4 linked regions of the Coturnix japonica genome follow. The protein of the gene in region 3 binds, or shares a complex with, the protein of the main gene of each other region. Links are inferred from orthologs where the notes say so. Each region holds a gene or a part of one and is shown on either strand. Other genes may lie near its edges.

What was found.
Region 1: the proteins of ARPC1B (region 3) and ARPC5L are in contact, whole or in part, in a cryo-EM structure (PDB 6YW6), measured with the Homo sapiens proteins. The link is inferred for Coturnix japonica from reciprocal best matches to the Homo sapiens genes ARPC1B and ARPC5L. Residues at the interface, in NP_005711.1 of Homo sapiens: Arg118, Lys138, Arg142, Phe164, Ser201, Gly203, Trp204, His222, Asp223, Ser224, Thr225, Leu240, Ala241, Ser242, Glu243, Thr244, Leu245, Pro246, Phe281; in NP_112240.1 of Homo sapiens: Asn21, Lys22, Arg102, Gly139, Leu140, Gly141, Ile144, Arg145, Thr148, Arg150, Lys151.
Region 2: ARPC1B (region 3) and ARPC3 share a complex: the UniProt entries of both Homo sapiens proteins name them as parts of the arp2/3 complex. The link is inferred for Coturnix japonica from reciprocal best matches to the Homo sapiens genes ARPC1B and ARPC3.
Region 4: ARPC1B (region 3) and ARPC2 share a complex: the UniProt entries of both Homo sapiens proteins name them as parts of the arp2/3 complex. The link is inferred for Coturnix japonica from reciprocal best matches to the Homo sapiens genes ARPC1B and ARPC2.

The regions. Positions count from the first base shown.
Region 1 is NC_029532.1:8,068,328-8,073,973, forward strand, and holds ARPC5L (actin-related protein 2/3 complex subunit 5-like protein), read right to left. Parts: upstream 3,763-5,646; 5' UTR 3,715-3,762; coding exon 3,575-3,714; intron 3,155-3,574; coding exon 3,082-3,154; intron 2,563-3,081; coding exon 2,386-2,562; intron 652-2,385; coding exon 589-651; 3' UTR 67-588; downstream 1-66. Other genes in the region: PPP6C (serine/threonine-protein phosphatase 6 catalytic subunit), read right to left, coding at 4,197-4,445, 5,271-5,480, 5,622-5,646. UniProt on the Homo sapiens protein: May function as component of the Arp2/3 complex which is involved in regulation of actin polymerization and together with an activating nucleation-promoting factor (NPF) mediates the formation of branched actin networks.
Region 2 is NC_029530.1:4,512,071-4,517,906, reverse strand, and holds the start of ARPC3 (actin-related protein 2/3 complex subunit 3), read right to left. Parts: upstream 3,341-5,836; 5' UTR 3,212-3,340; coding exon 3,206-3,211; intron 2,460-3,205; coding exon 2,360-2,459; intron 1,517-2,359; coding exon 1,440-1,516; intron 1,293-1,439; coding exon 1,224-1,292; intron 1,004-1,223; coding exon 877-1,003; intron 481-876; coding exon 386-480; intron 92-385; coding exon 29-91; 3' UTR 1-28. Other genes in the region: GPN3 (GPN-loop GTPase 3), read right to left, coding at 4,393-4,455, 4,811-4,939, 5,441-5,537, 5,690-5,805. UniProt on the Homo sapiens protein: Component of the Arp2/3 complex, a multiprotein complex that mediates actin polymerization upon stimulation by nucleation-promoting factor (NPF).
Region 3 is NC_029529.1:4,412,844-4,417,562, forward strand, and holds the end of ARPC1B (actin-related protein 2/3 complex subunit 1B), read left to right. Parts: intron 1-93; 5' UTR 94-139; coding exon 140-203; intron 204-836; coding exon 837-941; intron 942-1,256; coding exon 1,257-1,479; intron 1,480-1,870; coding exon 1,871-1,978; intron 1,979-2,062; coding exon 2,063-2,269; intron 2,270-2,572; coding exon 2,573-2,648; intron 2,649-2,719; coding exon 2,720-2,916; intron 2,917-2,990; coding exon 2,991-3,081; intron 3,082-3,239; coding exon 3,240-3,278; 3' UTR 3,279-3,512; downstream 3,513-4,719. UniProt on the Homo sapiens protein: Component of the Arp2/3 complex, a multiprotein complex that mediates actin polymerization upon stimulation by nucleation-promoting factor (NPF).
Region 4 is NC_029522.1:24,164,166-24,170,028, reverse strand, and holds the start of ARPC2 (actin-related protein 2/3 complex subunit 2), read right to left. Parts: upstream 3,795-5,863; 5' UTR 3,669-3,794; coding exon 3,595-3,668; intron 1-3,594. Other genes in the region: C-X-C chemokine receptor type 1-like, read left to right, coding at 3,893-4,382, 4,977-5,863. UniProt on the Homo sapiens protein: Actin-binding component of the Arp2/3 complex, a multiprotein complex that mediates actin polymerization upon stimulation by nucleation-promoting factor (NPF).

The sequences.
Region 1 (5,646 bases), on a different chromosome or scaffold from region 3:
GGTAGACACTTAATGTAGAAATGCTATTGAGGGCTTAATTTTGGGTGCCAGAAATCAACAATTGACTTAACTTGTATGATCCAAGAACTTTATTGATGCAGCAGGCACTTTACAATGAAACCAACCCCAAAGTCCAACCGTCCTCTGACCATATATATACATACATATACAAAATCATCTTTCTAATAAACACTTATCCCATTCATAAACTGTCAGAATCTTGCAACTGTGAAGACCATAGCTCCCTCTTAAATAAGTAGCACAGACAGGATCTTGGATCACCACGCTTTGATAAAGCAGCATCTGAAAATACCTGCTCACTTTCAGTAGTAGGAGGCAGGAGTTTGCCTTCTCTCTGCCTTAAAAGAAGCAAGCAGGAGAATGTCTTGGCTCCTGTACGTGATAGTCAGAATATACAGGAATACCTTTACTCTTTTCCCACCTTTAATGTTAAAAGCAGTCCAAGAGGAGGTTTCCATAGTATTTCAGTAGATTGGAATCTCTAATCAAGATGGACCAGCATCACTTCAGCTACTTCCTTCTTCTGGGTCCAAAACTGATGGTTGTCTTGCTTCGAGTTAATAGTCTTTAAACAGTCTTTCTTGCTGTAAGAACTCTTACTATGGAACCTAGTCCACCTGCTGCTAATGCCTGTGGGGTGGGAGAAGGAGACAAGATCAGTTCTACAGTCACACACGGCTTACGATGAAACCTTCATTGTTCTTAGCAGCCTGCAGGGCTGGCAGTGGTTCTGCTGGTACAACTTGTGTGTTCCGTCACACAAAGCGCACGCTGTATTTGTTAACTCCTAAGCAATGTTTTATGCTAATTGCTACAACCAGAGCATCAGTTCTCAAGTTGTTCCACCCCTCTGTACCTGTGCAGGTACCTTCTGCACTGCTAAAACCTTCAGCTTCCTGCAGTAACAAGTTCTACATTCACACACTTATTCCTTTGCCACATTTCAGCTCCTTGCCTGTTCCTGTCTTGGGCCATGAACTCGGGAGCTCTATGCCCCCTGTCCTCTCTGAACGTACAGATGAGCTCCTTCTTTGACCCAGGTTTTTGCAGTACATACACAGCGCTACTCTCTAAACATGCTATAAATCTAAGAAGCAAGGAAATGAAGGGTGGACAAAACAGCTCATTGTAACACATCCCACCACATCTGAAGGCTAAAGTACACAAAACCTTATGAACTGACTTGCATCTAGTGAAGGACACCGATGATGCAGAATACCTTACACTCCTGCTCCTGAATGGGGAAAGGAGGAAGGGCTTAGTCTGGTTTCATTTGCATCCTTAATAAAAATGAAACATTCTTCTAAAGTCTAGGAGGAGATGCATGTAAGTGAGGGCCGCAGAGGAGCTGCTCAGATTAGACCTGACGGATGCAGAAATGGCATCAGGCCCTTCCAGGGGCCAGGCAGGTGCTGCTGAGCTGCTGCCCACAGTCAGAGTGAGCTGCACGTCCTGCCTGCACTGCTGGAAAGCAGAACACAAAGCTCTAAGCAGCTCCCTGCACACTGCACAACTGCAGCTTTCCTTTGAAAACAAAGGGGAAGAGATGCTTGCACGTGTCTACGTGTTCTGAGCAGTGACTTCTTTCCAGTCAGGGCAGTCTTGTGTAATGTTACGTACTGGGAGTATCAACCTACGGTGACCCAAAAAGAGCCTCCAGTAGGAAGAACAACACAAAATGTCAAGCACAAACATGTTCCTTCCTGTGCAATTTCCTCCCCCTCCTGCCTATCGATATTCTGCAAGGCTGGGGACAGCTGCCAGGAGCTGGAGTCACCATTGCACAACTTGTTTTAACTCATCACAAGGAAGCACGCCCTGTGCAAATGACCGGCCAGCAGCCAGCTGTGAGCACAGCACATACAGCCCCCCTCGCTGCGACCCTGCCACAGAAACGCCACTAAGTGCCACTGAGGCATCAAAGCCTTTACTGTGCAAACTGAGCAGGTTTGCTATAACTGGTCAGCTCGGATGTACTTCAGCACAGCGTTTCACTGACAAAAAGCATCACATCTGAGCCATCCTGGGCACCCCATGAGCCAAAGGCACCTTCAATCAATCAATCAATCAATCTCACCTCCACTCCCAGCTGCTGCTCCTTGTGGGGGAAACCACCACCAGACACAAGTCATAAACCTTCCTGCAGCTGACGCTGCTCTGCCACACCCACCCCTCCCATCCCTCCAGGCTGAGGAGAGCTCTGAAGTACCACAGAAACTCCATACGCCCAACACCAAGAGGCCAAGAACAAAAGGCAGCACCGAGCTCTGCTCCTCAGGGAGGATCCCCCTCATCGCACACCTCCCCATCCAGGAGGTCCTGAAAGCACCGACAGTGACAACAGAGCCCAGAGCAAACACTCACCTTTTCATGCCATTGGAGTAATATTGCACTGCTATTTTCTGTCGGCTTTTCAAATCCTTTATAAATATACTTCATTAACAAGTCAATCCCGTTTCTGTCTAAGGAGTTCACCGCTTGTTCAATTTCACTGCTCTTAAAAGACGTGAGGACTCTGAGCATGGTGCCCTGCGCCTGCTCCTGCACAGGAAGGAAAACGGCATTAGGATCAGCAAAGCTGGATGTGACCCCAAGTGCAGCAAAGCACTCGGAGCAGCGGCTGCGCTGATGGTGTGAAGATGCAGCAGCCAAACAGGAGGAAGTTTTACACTTTAAGTTTCAGTAGTGAGAAGGAAGAAGAGCAGAGAGCTTTAAAACTGGACTTGTTGGTGTTCCCACCTGGGGGGAACCACCTGAACTGCACTGCAGAACAAACCTACAGCCCGAGAACAACGAACAACGTCCGGCTCCTGCAGCACAAGATCCCCTGGGCTGTGCTCTGTGCTCCCTCTCAGCCCCCGGCTGCTGCCGGCCGCGTTTCCCCACAGCACGGGCCGCTCCCCGGGCACACAGCAGCACCGGGCCGTCCTACAGCAGCACCGCGACACCCGCACACAAACCGCAGCGCCGTCCTTCAAGAGCAGACGGACGGGAGGTGCCATGGAGCACAAGGTCAGCGCCGGGGGCGCCGCTCGTTACCGGTCCCGGGGCCGCACTCACCTTCATGGCCGCGCTGCGCGTCTGTGCGGGGTTGTTCCTTAGGGCCGCGTGCAGCGCGCGCAGCGCTTCGCCTCTACGGCGAGAGTCAAGGAGCAACGGCGGCACCGGGAGCACCGGGACGGAGCGATAAGGGGAGGGGGCAGGGGAGGAGGGCGCTGCAAAGCGGGTACCTGAACTACGGCCACACAACGGCAGCGGGGAGGGACGGGACCGGGGGCAGCACGGAGGGCAGCACCAAGCAGCACCGAGCAGCACCGGGCAGCACCGGGCAGCACCGAGCGGCACCGGGCGATACCGGGCAGCACCGGGCGATACCAGCCAGCACCGGGCAGTACCGGGCAGTACGGGGCAGTACCGAGCAGTACCGAGCAGTACCGGGCGATACCGGGCAGCACCGGGCAGTACCGAGCAGCCTCAGGCCGCGCTCCCGCCCCGCAAACCTTCCCGAGGCCCCGCGGGCAGCGCTCGGTGGCCGTGCCGCCATGAAGGATACTGCCTCAGCAGCGCCTCCACCTCGGGGCTCGCGTCGGGTTCGGCCGCCGCCGCCTCCTCGGGCTCCTCCACGAAGCGGTTCTCGTCGTACTGATCGATGTCCAGGCGGCGGAAGCGGGACGAGAGCGTGCTCCGCGCCATGCCGACGGAACCGGAACCGTCGGAACCGGAACCTCCCCCGCCGCTCCGCCGGAACCGGAAGCGCGGAGCCCGCCCCGCCCGGAGCAGGAAGGAGCGGAGCGGAGTGCGCCCCCCCGTCCCGTCCCGTCCCGTCCCGTCCCGTCCGGCGCCACGGAGCGACACGGCGCTGAAAAACCACAACGAGCCTTTAATTACAAAGTGGGCGGCGGCACCAACGGCCGCGGAACTTTGCTGCTGAAATCTCGTACATCTACGGGAGACGAACGGAGCCGCACGGAGCACCGGGAGCAGCCGAACGGCGCCGCTCAGCGGAGAAACGAACAACGAGCGGTTCGGATCCGCACAAATGGATCCGGGGGAGGGCGGGGAAACGGCTGCGCAGCGCAATGACAACGAACGGCGATAAGTTAAAGATAAAAGGCAGAGGCGGCATCTCAGCAGCAAAGTGCTCAATAAAAAGTATATTGTAGGGCGGGGGCGGCTCAGAGGAAGTAGGGGGTGGTTGTCCGGGGAGGGATCACCCGCTCTGAGTCTGGGACGGCGCGGAACAGCCTCGGTTCTCTCGTATTTACGTCCTGGAAGACCATGATGGAAGCGATGTTCCCGCAGCGATAGCAGTAATTGGGAGCTGACCACACCGTTACCAACTTCTCGTCAAACATGAATTTGTAGCCTTCGTGAACCAGCTGATGTGCTCTGCAGATGAGCTTCAGGTTGTTGATGTGGACAAACTGCAAAGAAAAGTGGCGTGTCACAGCTCTGTGCGTGGCCGCGCAGCAGCTGCTGCCCAGCAGAGCTCCTCAGCGCTGTGTGGGCCCAGCTCCGGGCTCAGCTCTGGGCTCTGCAGCGCTGACAGCACTGACCCACCCGGGAGGTTTTCCCAAGGCCTCTGAGAGGTGCAGGCTGTGCTAAGGACACTCCCTGTGTCCCTGTGCTCCCAGCACAGCTCTGCGGCCCCAGCCATGTGTGCCCAGCACCCCCACAGAGCTGGGACTGAGCTGATGGTGCTGGGAGCAAACCGCTCCTGTCAGAGCACAGAGGGCAACTTTGGGCTTTGAAACCTGAACAGTGAGAAACACTCCTGCCTGTGACAGCCGTGGTGCCTAGGCCTGCACTGCCCACGCCTTTCAATCCCTCCTGAATATGCTGCAGAGGAGCAGAGAACAACACACTGCATGAGGCAGGGATTCATCTTAGGGCCGGTTCAGAAGCCTGGGAAGTTCAGTGGGTCTGAGCCTCTTACTATGTTGCAAAGTAACAAAAATTAAGTCAAAGCTAGTATTTCTTCTTCCAAATCATTAGACAAGTATTCTACACAAAGCCTAGTAATTCTAGTTAGTCTCACTGCATTACACTTTTTAAACACAAGGTGTGCATTATCTCACTTGGCACTTTATGAGGGGAAAAGAGTATGTCACGAGAAAACCTCCCTCACCTCCACACCAACTCAGTCCCCTCACAAGGGAAGTTCCTTAATCCACTCGTCACTACAGTAAAGTCAAACACTTCATCTCACACCTGCAATTATGGGACGCAGCACAGGACGGCATCGTTACCTCATTTGTCACCTTAGCACCAAACAGCCAACCCGCCCCTCGCGGACTGATGGCCCACGTATCCACATCTTCTGGATCAGACCAAACCAGGTCACAGAAGGCGCCTTTATGAGGAATTTCTTGATTACGTTCAATGGTGCGAATCTGATCGAGTGTCTTGATGTCCGGAGACAATCCACCGTGCACACAGAGAATCTGCTCATCTATTAGCTGGAGAGAAAAAGGAACACAAAGAATGCTCAGTATTTCAACCAAACCAAGAACCTCTCCAGCACCACCCTCACCACCACCAATTCTTCAAGTTATATTTAGACAATCTACCTGTATCTTTTTTAAGGTGTTTACACTTACAGCTGCTATTGTGAGCATGTCAAAG
Region 2 (5,836 bases), on a different chromosome or scaffold from region 3:
AAATGCTTCATGGTGCTGCTTTGTCTGTTCACTGCCCAGGTCCAGACAGGCTCTTGTTCATGAACTGTCTCTTCACAAAGCAGATCCACCACTGCAGAAGAAAGCACACAGTTAGAAAACAGGCAAGAGATGTTTCTATCTTATAAATGAAATAGTGACTTAAAAGTAGGTTTAATACCAATTCCAATATATTTATTGCAGTGTAATAATGAACATCAGAAAGCTATGCCTTTGGAACTAAATTAGCTTGAATAATTTTCATGATGAAATGCAAATATATTTGCACATGAAATACAAGACCAGGATGTAATTCATGCATCTCCATCTTTTGGAGAAAGCAACCAAGCCTCTCATTGAATCTGTGATCATTAGGCCAAATCCTTACCTTACTGGGCTTGTCACTCTGAGGATCAAATACTTTTTCACAAAGTCGAAGGCCAGTTTCTTGCCTGAGCTGCTGCAAGTATGCTCTCATCACCTCTGAAATACAGCACAAGGACAAAGTAGCATTAAGGCAAACTAAACTGAGTGTGAAGGCAGCGGACATCACTGCCTACAGCAAGAAATGTGAGCTCTCACATCTGTAGGCCCTTGCTGGCTGTTCATTTTACAGCCATACTTGGATTTGTTATATTTGTATGAGTAAAACATATCTCAATTGTTTTCTTCTTTCAGCTAAGCCTTTGCCCATCATTATGGGTTTCCTCTCTGCCAGTGTAGGAGTTAGCTTGAGCTCTGTTACAGAATCTATCTAGCAGTTATAAGATCAGAAGACCTCAGAAAACAGAGCTAGAAGTTTTCTAGTTGTAACTGCAAAAACACAGCTGGTAAAGCTTGGACCAAAGCAAGTCTTTAGGGGTCTTTGTTAAGTCTTACCTTCCTCTTGCTTGTTGGTAGGTTTGGCATAAATGGCATTAAGTGGAAAGCCAGGTTCCCCAGGGATTGGGAAATTAGTGATTCCTAGCGTGTACATCTCTTTCTCTCCTTGGCCTTTAGAGTTGCACTGAAAGAACCAACCAAACAATTGATTACAATCCCTAAACCATTAAGACTTATCAAGAACAGCAGTGCAGTGTCCCTGCAAAACCACAGCCTCAAGTATTTGTTTTGTGGTTCTGTAAACTGGGGTTGCAGTGAACAGAGTCTGCTGTGCCTTTAGGAGATGAATACCAGCAAATACTCTCCTGAGTATAATCCCCAGAACAGACTGTTTCCCTCCTTACCTTTTGCAGCTTTTTCAAGCACTCAGAAATGTAGAGAGTTACGTAGATCAGTGTTCTGTCAGCCTCGTTCTGCAAAACAAGAGTAAGCACAGAGCCCGGTCTGTTAGACTACAAGGGACTTCATGGAACTGCTAACAGTTTGAAATAGGAACGAGTTCATGGCATTTGTGCCAGCAATTTCCTCATAGGAAAGGAATTATTGCAGAAAAAAAATACCTTAATTTCATAATTTTTGAAGAAAACGTTGGCTTTGAAGTAGTAGATGGCTTCATCTATAATATCTGTATCTTTAGCTAAAGCAAAAGAAAGAAAATGAAAGAAAACCAAAATTAAGCAGTGCATTGCTACACATTTGGTCATAACTTTTACATGTTGAAGTACACAAACAGTGTTTCTTGCAAAAGCAAAATCATTTACAAGAAGCAGAGGACTATGGTAAATTTTACCCGTGTGAAAGACTGGTGATCTCTGACCAAACCATTTAAGTTTCTTACTCTTAGTAGGACTTTTAACTCCCTTCTTTTCCCATGACTTCACAAAGGGCAGCAGGTTGGCAGTTCTTTGGTATATCCTACCAGTTGAGTGACTCACCAGAGTTTTAACAGTATAGAACATATTAATATATGTATATTAATATGTATAACAGTATAGAATATAATATATATGCAACAGTATATAGAATATACTGTTAAAACTCTTTCTGAGGGCCCAAAAATATATTTGGGAGAAATTAACACCACAATCAAACAACCTTCCTCATTATTCTCCTGAAAAAAAGAAGAGGAAGGGTAGATTACATAGTGGCAGGTTGACCTGCAGCTTTCACTTTCTTTTACAAACATGCTTGAATTCTGAAATATTTCCTTTTTCAAACCGAATTGCCACAGTTAAGCATCCTCAGCTATTGCACCAAAGCTGAGTTCTGCAGCTAAACCTCCACTTCCTCTGACAGCAAAGGGTTAATAGCACCACATCCTCACAGCCTGCTGAAAAGAGGCACAGGAGGAAGTGTGAAAATACTATCTGTAGGCAGTGTTAATTGCTAAAGCAGCTGAATTACCCAGAGCCGTGCCAGATAACAGCCATGGGATCATCATTTTTTCTAGTTGGCACCACTTATATTCTTATAAACTTACTTTCTCGAGGTGCTGGGCCTTTGAACTGGCTTCTGATGGGTAACAGTGCCATGTTCCCCACTAGCTTGGTATCCGAGTCCATTAAAGTTGAATGGTAAGCCTAGAGACAAGGGAAGACTGCTTATTATTCCTGCAGAATATTGCCCTTCCTTTATCCTGTTAAAACAGAGTTTGGTTTGTTAGGGATATGATTTAACTGGGAAGTATTGGTGATGGTTGGACTGGATGATCTTCTAGGTCTTTTCCAACCTTGATAATTCTGTGATTCTGTGGTGCTTCCAGGAACCTTTCCTTGCACAAACAATGGTCATTTCTTACTTAGGCCTTCTGCAACTCAGCACCATTCCAGCGATGAGCACAAAAGCATTTATTGGAACCATTTGTCAGTGGTGGTGGAAGAGCACAGGCTGAGAGAGATGGGGCTGTGCAGCCTGGAGAGGGCTGTGGGGAGAGCTGAGAGCAGCCTGTCAGTATCTAAATAATAACCAAAACCAGGCTTATCACATACACACACAAAAGGCCTTTCTGTGCATTAAAACTGATGTAAGTGAATAAGAAGCACTGGGATGTGCTACTTTCTGGTGTGGCCTTGTGGTGCGGTTCCCCCAGATGCACTCCTGCCGCCCGGCTGGGTGCCACGGGGGGGGGGGGGGGGCTGACTCTGTGAGGTCAGAACGGGATAAAAAAAAAAGGGGAAGAAAAGAGGAAGGCGGCAGGTCCCTCCACACCGATCCGCTCATCAGTGCGAGGCTCCCGGCTACAGCCCCCCTTTCATCCGCCCCCAGTCCGTCCCTGGCGCTCAGCGCCCGCCCTGCCCCTTCCCTCCCCCTGCCCCGCTCCGCTCACCGGCATGGCGAAGGGCAGGGCGCAGCTCGGTGCGACGGCAGCGGCGCTGAGCTCGTAGCAAATCTTCCTCTTCCTTCAGGAAATGAGGCAGCGGGGCGGTGCGACAGGGGGAAGCCACAGCCCGTACCGCCCCGAGGAGCCGCTCCCTGATGGGGAAGCACAGAACTGACCCCCCCCCATTACGCGCTGGGTCTGAGGGAACTGTTGTCCTTGTGAGGCAGAGTGCCCCATTTGCCCCCCTTTTGCCCCCCCTCCACCTCCTCGTCACTTGAGTCAGGCCGAAAAAATGGGGAGATTTGAAGCTGAAGGGCTGGGTTTCTCCTTTCCGTGAGCAAAGGGCACCTCTGCTGTGAGGATGGGCTGAGGGAGATGGGCTGTTCAGCCTGGAGGAAAAGGCGGCTGCAAGGAGTCCTTAAAAAGCTGCGTCCCCAAAAGCTGTGTTCTCTAATTCTAACCTCTTTCTGGTTATGGCAATGACTACCCTGAACTCTCACCTAACTGTCCAGGGCTGGGAGTAGCTGTGTCATATCCTCAGGTTTAGATAACTGCCACTGCCTCAAAGTATTCAATCATTGGTTTGGTTTACCAAGCCGCTCCAACAAAATGACATTAGATGCTCTTATTCTACTGGGTTTGAATCCCCCCTGTGGCGCAAGTGGTAGAAGTGCTGCTCTTCTACACATAGGCTCAAATCCTGGGAACTATATAATACATAGAAAAAGATGACACGCCTATATATGAGCATTTACTGATATTAAGCTTTACGTCACCACAAGGCCCTTTTTAGAAAACACTTTTATTCAATAATCATTAATAAAACTCGTTCCTTAGGATCAAGGAAAGGTTTATAAATACTTGGATATGACTAGAAGAAAAGCATCCTCCAATTCAGCTGAAATTAGCTAATAAATTGGATTAATATATTTTAGGAGAAATAATAATAAAAGATATTTTGAGAACGTTCGAGAGTCCAGGAACATTCTGTATTTACAAAAGAACTATTAACAGTAATACAGCTCACTATATTCTGTCGTATACACCGTCATATAGCTCACTTCTCACTAGCGATGTTAGTTATCTTAAAGGCAAAACATCACATAAATATGTTTGTGTGGAGGTGGATGGTTTTTGCTTTCTTTAAAACACACAAGCGATGCATTTTCTTCCTCTTTTCCAGCATCTGCTTTTTACTCATTCACGTGATCTTGAAAATACTCATCCACGAGTGCAGATTTATCTTCTTCATATTCCTGCAACAAGAAAACAGAAAACGTAATACCTGACTTTTCTCTAGTGACTGTTGGATGCTGTCAGTTCTGCAATGCTTTATTTTAATAAGCACAACAATGTCCAGTGCAGTTCTATAAAACAAGTAGCAAAACTTCCTGAACAGCAGTTTGTTTCTAAAGCTCTCCCATATGTATACATCAAAATCCAGGTGTGGTTATTTTGCATATCCTGAGAGTAGGAAACTGAATTTTTAAGAAGATCTTAGTGGCATACAATCATCTTTTCCAACCTTTAACATTGAAATAACATGATTATATTATGATTTCTATTGTGGATCCTTTCTAATTTTTCATCTTATCTTCAGAAATATCTTACCTTCGGTTCTTTGAATTCAAGATCTTCTCCATACTGGATGGTAGTGTCTATGTGCTGCAGAACTATGTTTATACTTTCCTCATCGGAGCGATCAAAAGGTAGAAATCGAACCATACCATAGTCATCAATCTACAGCAAGGATTCAAAAGACATCAGTAGGGAAATACACTACATTTTCTCATCGCATCATTGCTGCTCAGCAGTCTGGACAAGGAAAATCTAAGGCTGCTTAAAGCTATGCTGCACGTTAATGGCAATTCTCCACTCTGAATTCCTGGCTATCAGTCCAAAGTTCTACCCAGTCAATAAAGCTGTCTCCCAAAATGGCTTACAGAATATGATTCACATGAATTTTACTGGCTACAGTCAAGTATTATCAGGAATCTTATGCTAACCTGAAACATCAAAAGCTGAGTTAGGACAGGCAAAAGGAAAAATGTTTGAGTGCCTGGTAATCTTTTAGATTCAGGCTTTGCTAATAAATCTGCAGGTAGACACATGGCTTCATGGGGCAGGGGGAGAATGTTATAGTGCATACAGTATCTAGCTCAGCAGTGAGGTCAGTAACCACACAGCATGGTTTGCAGGTATGTGGCTGAATTAAAACCAGTTAAAGAGCACTATACGTACCAATCCACATATGGACTTTGTCAGTTTTTTAAACATTTTGCTTTTCAGTATATTAGTAGAATCTTCAATCATAGAATACATATCTGGATCTAAGTACCTGGGAGAAACAAAGCCATCGTTAACGAAGTAAAGAACAAATGACTCACTATCCTTTAACACAGCTACCGCAGCCACCCATCATTCCGTGATTCTGAGTGAAGTTTACATCAAGATATTACCCTACAGATTAAGTAATGCTTTGGGACTTACTTTTCTATTTCCTTCTTAGCTTTCTTGCTCAGCAAATCCATTTTGGTCATGATGTTAATTTGTGGAATCTCTAAAGAGATCATTGCACTGAGCGCTGCCAGAATCCCAGATATAAACTTAGGGAATAGGAAAAATGTAGTTAAAAGT
Region 3 (4,719 bases):
ACTGGGGTGGGCTCTGAGCTCGGAGCCCCCAGGGATACCAACAAGGGGGTTGTGGAAATGGAAAACGGTCCCCCATTGGGTTTGTCCCCACAGCCAGGTGTCCTGACAACGTTCTCATCCCAGTCCGAGCCCCTACATCATGGCCTACCACAGCTTCCTGCTGGAGCCCATCAGCTGCCATGCCTGGAACAAGGACCGGACCCGTAAGTACCCGACCCCCAAACCTCAATGGACAGCCCAAAGCAGTGGCAGCACAATGTTGGGGGTGGGCATCACATCCTGCCAGGACCAAAGGTCCCCACTGCAGCGTCATCCCCTGCGTGGGGCTGGTCCTGCCATGGGGCTGAGTCTGGGGCAGCGGGTGCTGCCCTGCACGTTGGTTTTGGGGTCAGCATAGGATACATCCCGCTTCCTTGCTCACTCTCCCTCGGTCCCACTGCAGGGGAGGGAGTGGAGCAGAGCCGGTGATTCATGGCCGATGGCATTTCCCGGCCACGCACAGGGGATGTGGGAGAGAACAAAAAGGGCTTTCTGTGATGGGGCTGCAGTGCAGGCCAGGATGAGGCCAGCGGGCACCAAACACCCACAGCCATCCCAGCCCATCCCTCCCAGCAGAGCCCTGGGACTGGGGCACAGCAGAAGTTGAGCTGTGGGGTTTGGGGGAGGTGTTCCCTTTTCCCCCAGCACAGTTTGACACCAGAGCCCAGTGCTGGGGCAGGACCCTACTGTGCCTTCAGGGCTCTGGGCACGGGAAGGGCTGTGCTGGTGACAGGGATGCATCAAACCTGGGCTGACCCTGCGAGCGTGGGGCCGTCAGAACTGCTTTCACCCCACAGAGATCGCGCTGTGCCCCAATAACCACGAGGTGCACATCTACCGCAAGGACGGGGCCAAGTGGAGCAAGGTGCACGAGCTGAAGGAGCACAACGGGCAGGTGACAGGTGAGTGCATGGGGATGGACGAGCTCTGAGGTCAGTCCCAACCCCACTCAGTGACACTGGTGGCCTTGGGACAGGGGTTGTGAAGGAGAGGAAGGGCTGTGTCTGGTGTTCCTGGTCCCAATTCAGTGTGTCAGGAGGCACCCGGGGATGGGATGATAACATTGTAGAAGGGTTGGGATTAAATTGACTGGGGGAATATAGCAGAGAAGGACTCAGGGGCAGAGAGCAGCCACATCCCCACCTCCAGATGGCCCCCTCATGCCCTGTCCCCATCCACACGGCTCCCCCCACATCACTGCCCCCCCCACCTTCCAGGCATTGACTGGGCTCCTGAGAGCAACCGGCTGGTGACATGTGGGACCGACCGCAATGCCTACGTCTGGACCCTGAAGGGCAACGTCTGGAAACCCACCTTGGTCATCCTGAGGATCAACCGGGCTGCCCGCTGTGTGAAGTGGTCCCCCAAGGAGAACAAGTTTGCTGTGGGCAGCGGCTCCCGGCTCATCTCCATCTGCTACTTTGAGCAGGAGAATGACTGGTGAGTGGCATTGAGGTCACCATCCTGCATTGGGTGGGGATGGATGGAGGGGAAGGGGTCGTATGTGTGGGGAAATGAGGGTGTATGTGTGGGGAAATGAGTGTAGGGGAGATGGGTGGATGGGGAGGTGGGGGAGAGGGATGAGAGGTGAGATAGGGGAGTCATTGAGGAGACGGAGGAGGAGGCAGAGGAGGAGCCTGATGGAGAGGTGGACATAAGTGCTGCAGGACCTAAGAGCTGGGGACACAGCACTGTCCCCATGGCCCAGCTGCTGACACAGGCTGGGAGCCAAGGGCAGTTCCTGGGGGCCCCAATCACCCCCAGACTGTGGTGTGAGAGCCATGGACTGTACCCGGGGGCTTTAGGGGCACCAACGCCGCTCTCCCTGCAGGTGGGTGTGCAAACACATCAAGAAGCCCATCCGCTCCACAGTGCTCAGCCTGGACTGGCATCCCAACAACGTGCTGCTGGCTGCCGGCTCCTGCGACTTCAAGTGCCGGTGAGTGGAAAAGGGGGGACCCCAGGGGGCTCTATGGGGTGAGCAGGGATGGAGCTTGTTCCACGGCGATCTTCTCCTTCCCAGGATCTTCTCAGCCTACATCAAGGAGGTGGAGGAGCGGCCCAGCCCCACGCCCTGGGGCTCCAAGATGCCGTTTGGGGAGCTGATGTTTGAGTCGAGCAGCAGCTGTGGGTGGGTGCACAGCATCTGCTTCTCAGCCAGCGGCAACCGAGTGGCCTGGGTGAGCCACGACAGCACCCTGTGCCTCGCTGATGCCAACAAGAAGATGGCGTAAGCAGGGCTGGGGCTGCAGGGGGATCTGGGGGAGTTTTTGGATGGGATGGGCTACGCAGTGATTTGTGGCTGCCCACGCTGGGGAAGGCAGCTGCTTTTCTGTGGGCTGGATGGTCCCCAAAATGATGCAGGGGTGGAGCTGGGATGGAGCTGGGGTGGGGGTGAAGGGCTGAGTGGAGCCGGGTGCAGGAGGAGGCACAGCCTCTCCTTGCAGCATCACAGCCCCACTCCCACGTCATGAGCTGTGCTGTGCTCAGCATGGTCTCAACTCACTGCTCACACTTTCTCCCTCCCTTTCAGTGTTGCCTCCCTATGCACTGAAACCCTTCCCCTCCTGGCCGTCACCTTCATCACTGAGAGCAGCCTGGTGGCCGCGGTGAGTTGGGCTGGGCTGAGGGCGGGCAGAGCACGAGGTGATTCTGAGCAGGACCACCACTTCATCCCCAGGGCCACGACTGCTACCCCATGCTGTTCACCTACGAGGAGGGCTCGGGCACGCTGAGCTTTGGAGGGAAGCTGGATGTCCCCAAGCAGAGCTCCCAGCGTGGCCTCACTGCCCGCGAGCGCTTCCAGAACCTGGATAAGAAGGCGAGCTCTGATACAGCCAACGCTGCGCTGGATACAGTGCACAAGAACAGCATCAGGTGCTGATGGGGCATCCGTGAGAGGGGGGAGGGTCCGGGGCTGCAGTCTGACCTCCCTCCCCTGCGCTCCACAGTCAGATCTCTGTGCTGGTTGGGGGCAAAGCCAACTGCTCGCAGTTCTGCACCACGGGGATGGACGGTGGCATGAGCATCTGGGACATCAAGGTGAGGCCCCTCCCGAGCCCCCCAACCACATCAGTCCCTCCTTAGCCCCAGCTCAGTGTAATCAATGTCCCCATTGATTACAGTCTGGGGTCTGCACAGCTCCACTCACCTTAGGAAGTAAAAAAATAAGGCAGTTGTTGAACAACTTCTTGTTTCAGAGCCTGGAGTCGGCACTGAAGGATCTCAAAATCAAATGAAGGATGCAGCCAGGAGGTCCCAGCCGCAGCTGCCCCGCTCTGCTGCTGCACTGCTGCACTCCCTCTGCCCCGCGCTCCCGGCTGCCAGCCAGCCCTGGGCTGCTCTAACACAGAGATAAAGGTGGTTGTTGGTTGGGTTGTTTTTTTAATACTATTTTTGTTACCATCCTAACCGATGCTGGTCATACATCGCTTTATGAATTCAATAATAAAGATTTTCCCATATAAATCCAATGTTTTTTTCTTCTTTTCTTTTAAAGCATTTTAATGTGAGTACATGTGATTACAGCATGCTGCAGGGTTTAATTGCATGTGCTCAGGTTAACACGGCTCCTGGCAGCCCCTCCATGCAGTGCAGCCCCTACACTCACAGCCCCAGGACGGATCCTTGCTGGCAGCACTGGGATGGAGATGTTTGAGTCACTCCATGATTCCGAGCTCTGGTCCATCCTCCCACAATGGAGCTGTGTTCTACTGGGCAAAGACCTCTATGTGTCACCCACCCCAGTGCACCTGAACCAGCCCCTTTCTCCCTCCCCTCCTCCTGTAGGCCCCAGCCACCTCCCTTTGCTCCCAAGGCTCACCCCAAGTTTCCACCTGATCCTCTGACACCACCTCAATTCTCGATAAGGCTGAGAACTGCTGGTGCCCCACAACCACAATGTACCAGATTAAAGCATCTTCTGCCAGCTCCACGCTGTGGCACAGCCCAGGGATGGCCTAACACACTGACTGAGCCCAACAGCAGCCTGAAGGTAATTGTTTCCTCCTCTCCACTAACCAGATGGTGCAAGACGTCCATCAGAGAAGAGCAGGAAAAGCTTCTTGCCTTCGGGCTGCAGCTGCTGATAGGGCTCCCAAACCCTGAGCCAAACTCAACATCGTGAACAGCAGAGAGAAGCAGCAGACACAAGAAACCACTGCAAGACCACACTGTGCTGCACTGTGTGTTCTATCAGTTCACTTACACAAGGACATGGCAGTTCTGATCGTTTACATTTTAATCAGCCAAATATACAAGTTCAGTTGTTTTTCCTTTCTTTTTTTTAACTTCATCAAGGTGGGTTTGGGCTTTTTTTCCATCTGGGTCCAATACAATTCATGATACATATACCTGTTTTCCTTTAAACAAAGGATAATGTGGTTAAAAACTGGCACTATCCCTAATCAGGTGAAGAAAACAAAAAATAACCAAGAGGAGAGAAAAGGGGGAGAGAATGGCTGTGAGAAAGGAGGGGTGAAAATGGGAAGGAACAGAACAGCCCAGATGTCCATGAAGTCAGGCTCCCAGATTACACTGCAACACCCTGCAGTAAAAGTTTAAGGGCTGTCTGCCCAAAAGAATTCCACAGATACCTTATCCTTTGGGTTTTCATGAGCAAGTCAAAGCTCCCCACCCCACGCACCCCACCCCACAATGACCCCACAATCTATTTTCTTG
Region 4 (5,863 bases), on a different chromosome or scaffold from region 3:
CCAAATCCCAGCTGCTCCCCGCTTAGAACAATAAGAGGCCTTGATGGATTTGTATTCCTTCTTGCCTGCATTCCCCCTTGCCTGCATTCCCTATTCATCTCTAAATGGCTCCTGCACCAAAGTCCATCTAACGCAAAGCCAGCTCCAAATCAGATTTTTCCCCACAGCAGCGCATCCAAGAGGAGCCACAGAACCCATGGAGAGATGCCAACAAGCACTTAAGAGCAACAACAAATCTCCTTTTTCCTGACAGCAGTTCCTCAATTTTGATTCGGACAGCCTCCAAACTTCCCTGCCTCATTCTCAGGCCACGGAGGCTCTCGGCCATATGTTACAACAAATTGAAGAACAGAAGAACGAAGGCTGTGTAATTAGCCAGAGCCCTCATCTCCTGCATTAAACAGACCTGCATGCAAATGCGAGCCTGGCCAACAACCACATCGATAGATGACTAAAGCAGCTCCCACATCGCAATTAAGGTTTGTACCCAATAAAGGAAGATGGCAATTATTTTAAAAGCTGCAGGCACACAGATATTAGAATATCTCGCTCCAGAGGAGGGGGGGGGAAAAAAAACCTCATGAAAGGAGTGGGGGGAATATTTCAAAGCTTCGAGCTTCCAGCTCTGAGCAGAGCCTGCAGATCACCGAGTTGATGCACTGTTGGATGAGAGTGAGCCAGATTCAGTGACAGACTGCAGGCTCTCGCTCCAGAAAGGTCACCCCAATAAAAAAATTATGAGCAATGTCTAAAATTATCCAAAGCTGTTCCTCCCCCCCTCTCTCCCCAGGCCCCACTCGACTAACAAAAGCTACTTTGCGTGAGCTGTAAGCGTGCATGAAATCAAAGAGCTCCCACAGCACGCCTGCCACAAACTTGAGAAGCACTTTGCTGTGCGGTAATGGAAGTCCCCATGTGTGCTGACCCACAGCATTGCTGGGACCCCAGCTTCCACTGTCAGCACGGCAGCCAGTCTGCAGGCTCTGCTGATATCTGCTCTTGTCTTGCACCAAACGCGGCAGCTGCAGGAGGTGCTGCTGATCCTGCACCGAACCCCAAAGTGCAAACATCACCTGAACGCTTCTCACCTGCTCCAGGATTGGCCATTCTGCAGATGCTGGGCTGCCTGAGCTCCTCCATCCCTGTGCTGTCCCCAGCTACCCCACAAGGAAGTCACTCCCAGGCAGCACTGGCAGCACAAAGTTCGTATCACCCACCTTCACCCAGCAAGGCCAGAGCACTCCACTGCAGAGCAGGTGAGCACCACAGGGACCACAAATGGGAAATACCACAGAGGATGTGGATGCAGTTGCAGCCAAACTCTCCAAGCAGCCTACAGGAACTGGTTTACAGCACAGAAGTTGAAGCTTCAGCTGTTTTCCCATTCAACCAGCACTCATGAAACCCTGCAAATTTGCCCCTATTGAAAGCTTTACAGAAACCTAACATTGAATGAGATATGTTTCCCCTCCACCTCCAACCAAGGGAAAAATCACACTGTTCTCCACCTATGCAATTTCTTCTCCTGCACAGCAGGTAAACAGTAAGTACCAATTTGAGACAGATGATTAATTAGCTTGCCCTAAACTGCCAGCAATGTAAGGCTGAAGAACCATACCTAAGAACACAAGCCCTCTGCTACAGTTTGGCTGGGATCAGAGTGGACCAAAACTGGAGGGCAAATCTGTTTTGGGGGGGTAGTTCTCTGCTGTGCTTTAAAAAGAAGTGAACACAGGAGACAGAAATGTTTTACCTTGAAAATAGGTTATTGTTCCCAGGTATTCCCCCACTTCAGCACTTTGACAGACTAATCTTTCAGCTCAGGGAGCTGCTGGATCCATGGCACAGTCACAGAAGGAGAGGGAAGTGCCCACATCATGGAGCAAGTTTAGATAAACTGTGCATCACATCTGCACAATTCAAGTTGCAGGGCAGATAACTCAGGGTCAGCTCACAGTGACTTACTCCTCTCAATCACTTAATCCCTTGGAGTGTGTCCTTGCCCTGACCACCCTGGGTCCATCCCCAGGACACATCTTGGGTTGACGGTCACCCAAACAGAGCAAATCCCCTCCTGCCTTCAAGCTCAATGCCACAGGATGACCCTGGAACACCAGCTGGATGGAAAAGAAATATCTCATGAATAAACATGGCATGGCATAGCACCAGTACCCAAAAAGACTTGTTCAGAGAAGTAGATTTCCATTTTCCTTGGTTTCATCTCTGACCTTCATCCATGCCTTGTTCTTTCCTGGACAGCAGAACAGCACAAGCACAGAAGAAAATGCAGAAGTGAATTACTTCCTCCCCTCCAGCAACATTCTGAGGGTGCAACACTCATCCAGAAGGAGCACTTAGCTGGTCTTCTATGCAAAAGAAAGGACGGCCCATAGAACAAGAGGCAGAATATCATTGGCCACACTCACAGCAAATTGATCCAGGAAGGATTGGTATGCCAGGCAAGCACGCTGAGGCAGTAACAAGCTTTGCTGTACAGCAAAATGGAAACATTGTAGATTGGAGGTGAGTGAGTAACCTCAGCTCTAGCTGCACTGAGTCAGGGCTTTGAGCTGCACTCAGTCTCCTGATGGCTGCATCCTCCATTCACTGCTGCTGCTGCACTTGGACTGATGCAGGGACACGCACACAGGCTCCCACCAGCAGAACGCCTCCATATGAGCTTGTGGTGAACGAGTGTTTTTTGACACACACTATTAACCTCCAGATACTTCAGGTTTTTTTCCTAATGGAAAATGCAGCACCCAAGAGCTCTCTCCTCCCAGTGTGGTGCTTTGGGGATATGTTGCACTAAATAATCACATGAAGAGGCTGATGGCAGGGAAGAGAGCAGCGTGGTGATCCCACAAGGCAGCACAGTGGGAGCTGTGGGAGCACAGGTGAAGGTAATTCAGCTGTGCTCCTGGAAGGGGTGGAGCTTGACTCCACGTCTCCTAGATCCCATTTAAGGGCTGACCACCACTAAGGCAGCATCTCTTTCTGGAGATTGCATGGCTGCAGATAAGGGCATTCACGTGAGATGACTGTCTCAAGCTGAACTATGCTCAGACAATATCTTCCCAGCACTGAAGCGCTGCTGTCAGTAACACTCAGTGGCTCCCCGGGGACTATATGATCCAGACCAAAGATACAGGTGCAGATCAACTGCCCTACAACCTCCACAAAGCCAAGATGCTCAGCAGCCCTATGCCAGCAGCCAGGACAAGCGGATCCTCTGACCCTGCCAACACCTCCCATCCCAATGGCACACCCCAACACCACAAGCTCCATCACTCTCACCTAATCCCAGCCCTAAGCACCCCATGGAGCCTGGCCTCACACAATCTTCCATTCATCCACTCAGTCCCACCACCTCAGCCCCCTCCACCCTTGCCGGCCCCACCCCATGTCCCCATTGCCCTGTCATACCTCACACCCAAGGCCCAGCTCGGTGCCACCCGCCCCTCCCACGCCTCTCCCATAGACATTATCCCTTAGCTCCTTATCCCCCTCCCCTCCCTCAGGCCTCACTAGGCCGCAACGCTTCCTCCTCCGCCCCGCCCCGGCCTCATTCACCGACCCATCTCCCTGCCCTACCCGGCGGCCGCGCCCTCGAACTTCAACGTGAGGGTCTCTTCGATGATACGGTTGTTGACCTCGAGCAGGATCATGTCGGTACCGGGGTTGGGGAACCGGCTCTCAGCGCTCCGAGGCCGGAGGGAGCCGAGCCCGCTGCGCGCACCGGGGACCCGCCCGAGCCTGCGCCGCCGCTTCCGCTCTCGAGCCCGCGCGTCACTTCCGGGCTCGTCCCGCCCCCCCCCAACACACACCGCCTACATGATGGGGGTCGGGAGTGAATGTGGGGTGTGAAGGGGGAATGGTGGGGTGAGCCGGAATGGGGACTGCCTACATGTGGGGTGATGGAGTCCCTGTGTGGGATGATGGAGTCCCTATGTGTGATGATGGAGTCCCTACAGTGCCCCCCCAGCGTTATACTAATGATGTGAGAGCGCCCCAGGATAATATGGGGTGTCCCCGGAGCACCCATAGGGATGGGGTGAAGCCCCATGGCCAGCAGAGCCCCACGAACCCCCCCCAGCCGTGCAAAGCGGGTGTGCTGTGCCCTGGGCTGGGGGTGCAGGGAAGGTGTCCCCTCTGCTGCCGCTTCCTCTTCGTGCTGCAGAAGGTTTTGCAACCTTGCTTCCTCCCTGCGCTGCATAAAGCGGCAGTGCCAGCTCTGAGCCTGGCTCACTTGGTGCAGGTGTGGGACCTGCTGGCACGTCCCCGTGCTCCCCAGGGTCTCCGTTTTGGGGTAACATCCCGTGGCAGACCTCAGCCGGGCTTGGAGCTGGGAAGGGGAGAAGATTTGGGGTGCAGCAGAGGCGGTGAGTGCGTGGGATGCTTGGCTATGGGGTGCCATGGGGCACCCTGCTTACCTGGGCAAGGGGTGCAGGGAGGGCTCTGCATAGCATAATCTGAGCTCCACGTAGGGTAACCCCAACCCTGGGGGGAGCTGATGTCCCCAAGTAGTTTTCTGCGTGGGGTCCAGGGAGGAAATGGAGACTTCCCCTTCTGTGGGCAGAAATCTGTCCCCATAGGAACTGCAGGGAATTTGGGTGGGGAATCGGAAGGAGAAGCCAAAAATATAGTGGGGAGAAGCGTGTTTCCTCTGCTCTGGGTACTGTGGTGCACTCGGGGAGCTGGTGTGAGAAGGGTTTTTGGGGAGGACATCAGGATTCAAAGGACTCACACCAACCGGAGGGACTCAGGAGGGATCCTTCATTGGGGCTGAACCTGGAGGGGACAGTGCTGAGGTGAAGCAGTCCACACGGGGCTGTTGGGCAGGAGGACGTATGGGGATAGTTTTCAGGCATGAGCCTGTTCATTGTATGGTGTGGTGAGGTTATGGGGTGTGGGAGAGCAATGGGGGCTGGAAGTGCTGGATGTGCCCTGAGCCCACGTTGCTTTGTGCTTTGCAGGCAAAATGGGGACATTTTACGCCGATGAACTCTTCGATATCTTATACAACTACACTTCTGACTATGGCAACTACAGCCTGGTTCTGCCTGACATCGATGTCTCCTCTTCCCCATGCCGTAATGAAGGTTCTGTAGCCAACAAATACTTCGTAGCCTTCATCTACTGCTTGGTCTTCCTCCTCAGCATGGTGGGCAACGGGCTGGTGGTGCTGGTGGTCACCTCCAGCCACATGAACCGCTCCGTCACCGACATCTACCTGCTCAACCTGGCTGTGGCCGACCTGCTCTTTGCCCTCAGCCTGCCGCTCTGGGCTGCCTACTGGGCCCACGAGTGGGTTTTTGGCACCGTCATGTGCAAAGCCATCTCGGTGCTGCAGGAATCCAACTTCTACAGCGGCATCCTGCTGTTGGCTTGCATCAGCGTGGACCGCTACTTGGCCATCGTCTACGCCACCCGCGCTGCCACTGAGAAGAGACACTGGGTGAAGTTTGTCTGCGTGGGCATCTGGGTGTTCTCGGTGCTGCTCTCCCTGCCTGTGCTGCTGTTCCGCGAGGCGTTTGTCTCAGACCGCAATGGCACAGTTTGCTACGAGCGCATTGGAAATGAGAATACCACCAAGTGGAGGGTGGTGCTGCGGGTGCTGCCGCAGACCTTTGGCTTTGCCTTGCCGCTCCTGGTCATGCTCTTCTGCTACGGTGTCACCGTGCACACCCTCCTGCAGACCAAGAACGTCCAGAAGCAGCGTGCCATGAAGGTCATCCTAGCTGTGGTGCTGGTCTTCCTTGTCTGCTGGCTGCCCTACAACATCACGCTGGTGAGCGATACTCTCATGAGGACGCATGCCATCACTGAGACCTGTGAGAGGAGGAAACACATTGACACAGCC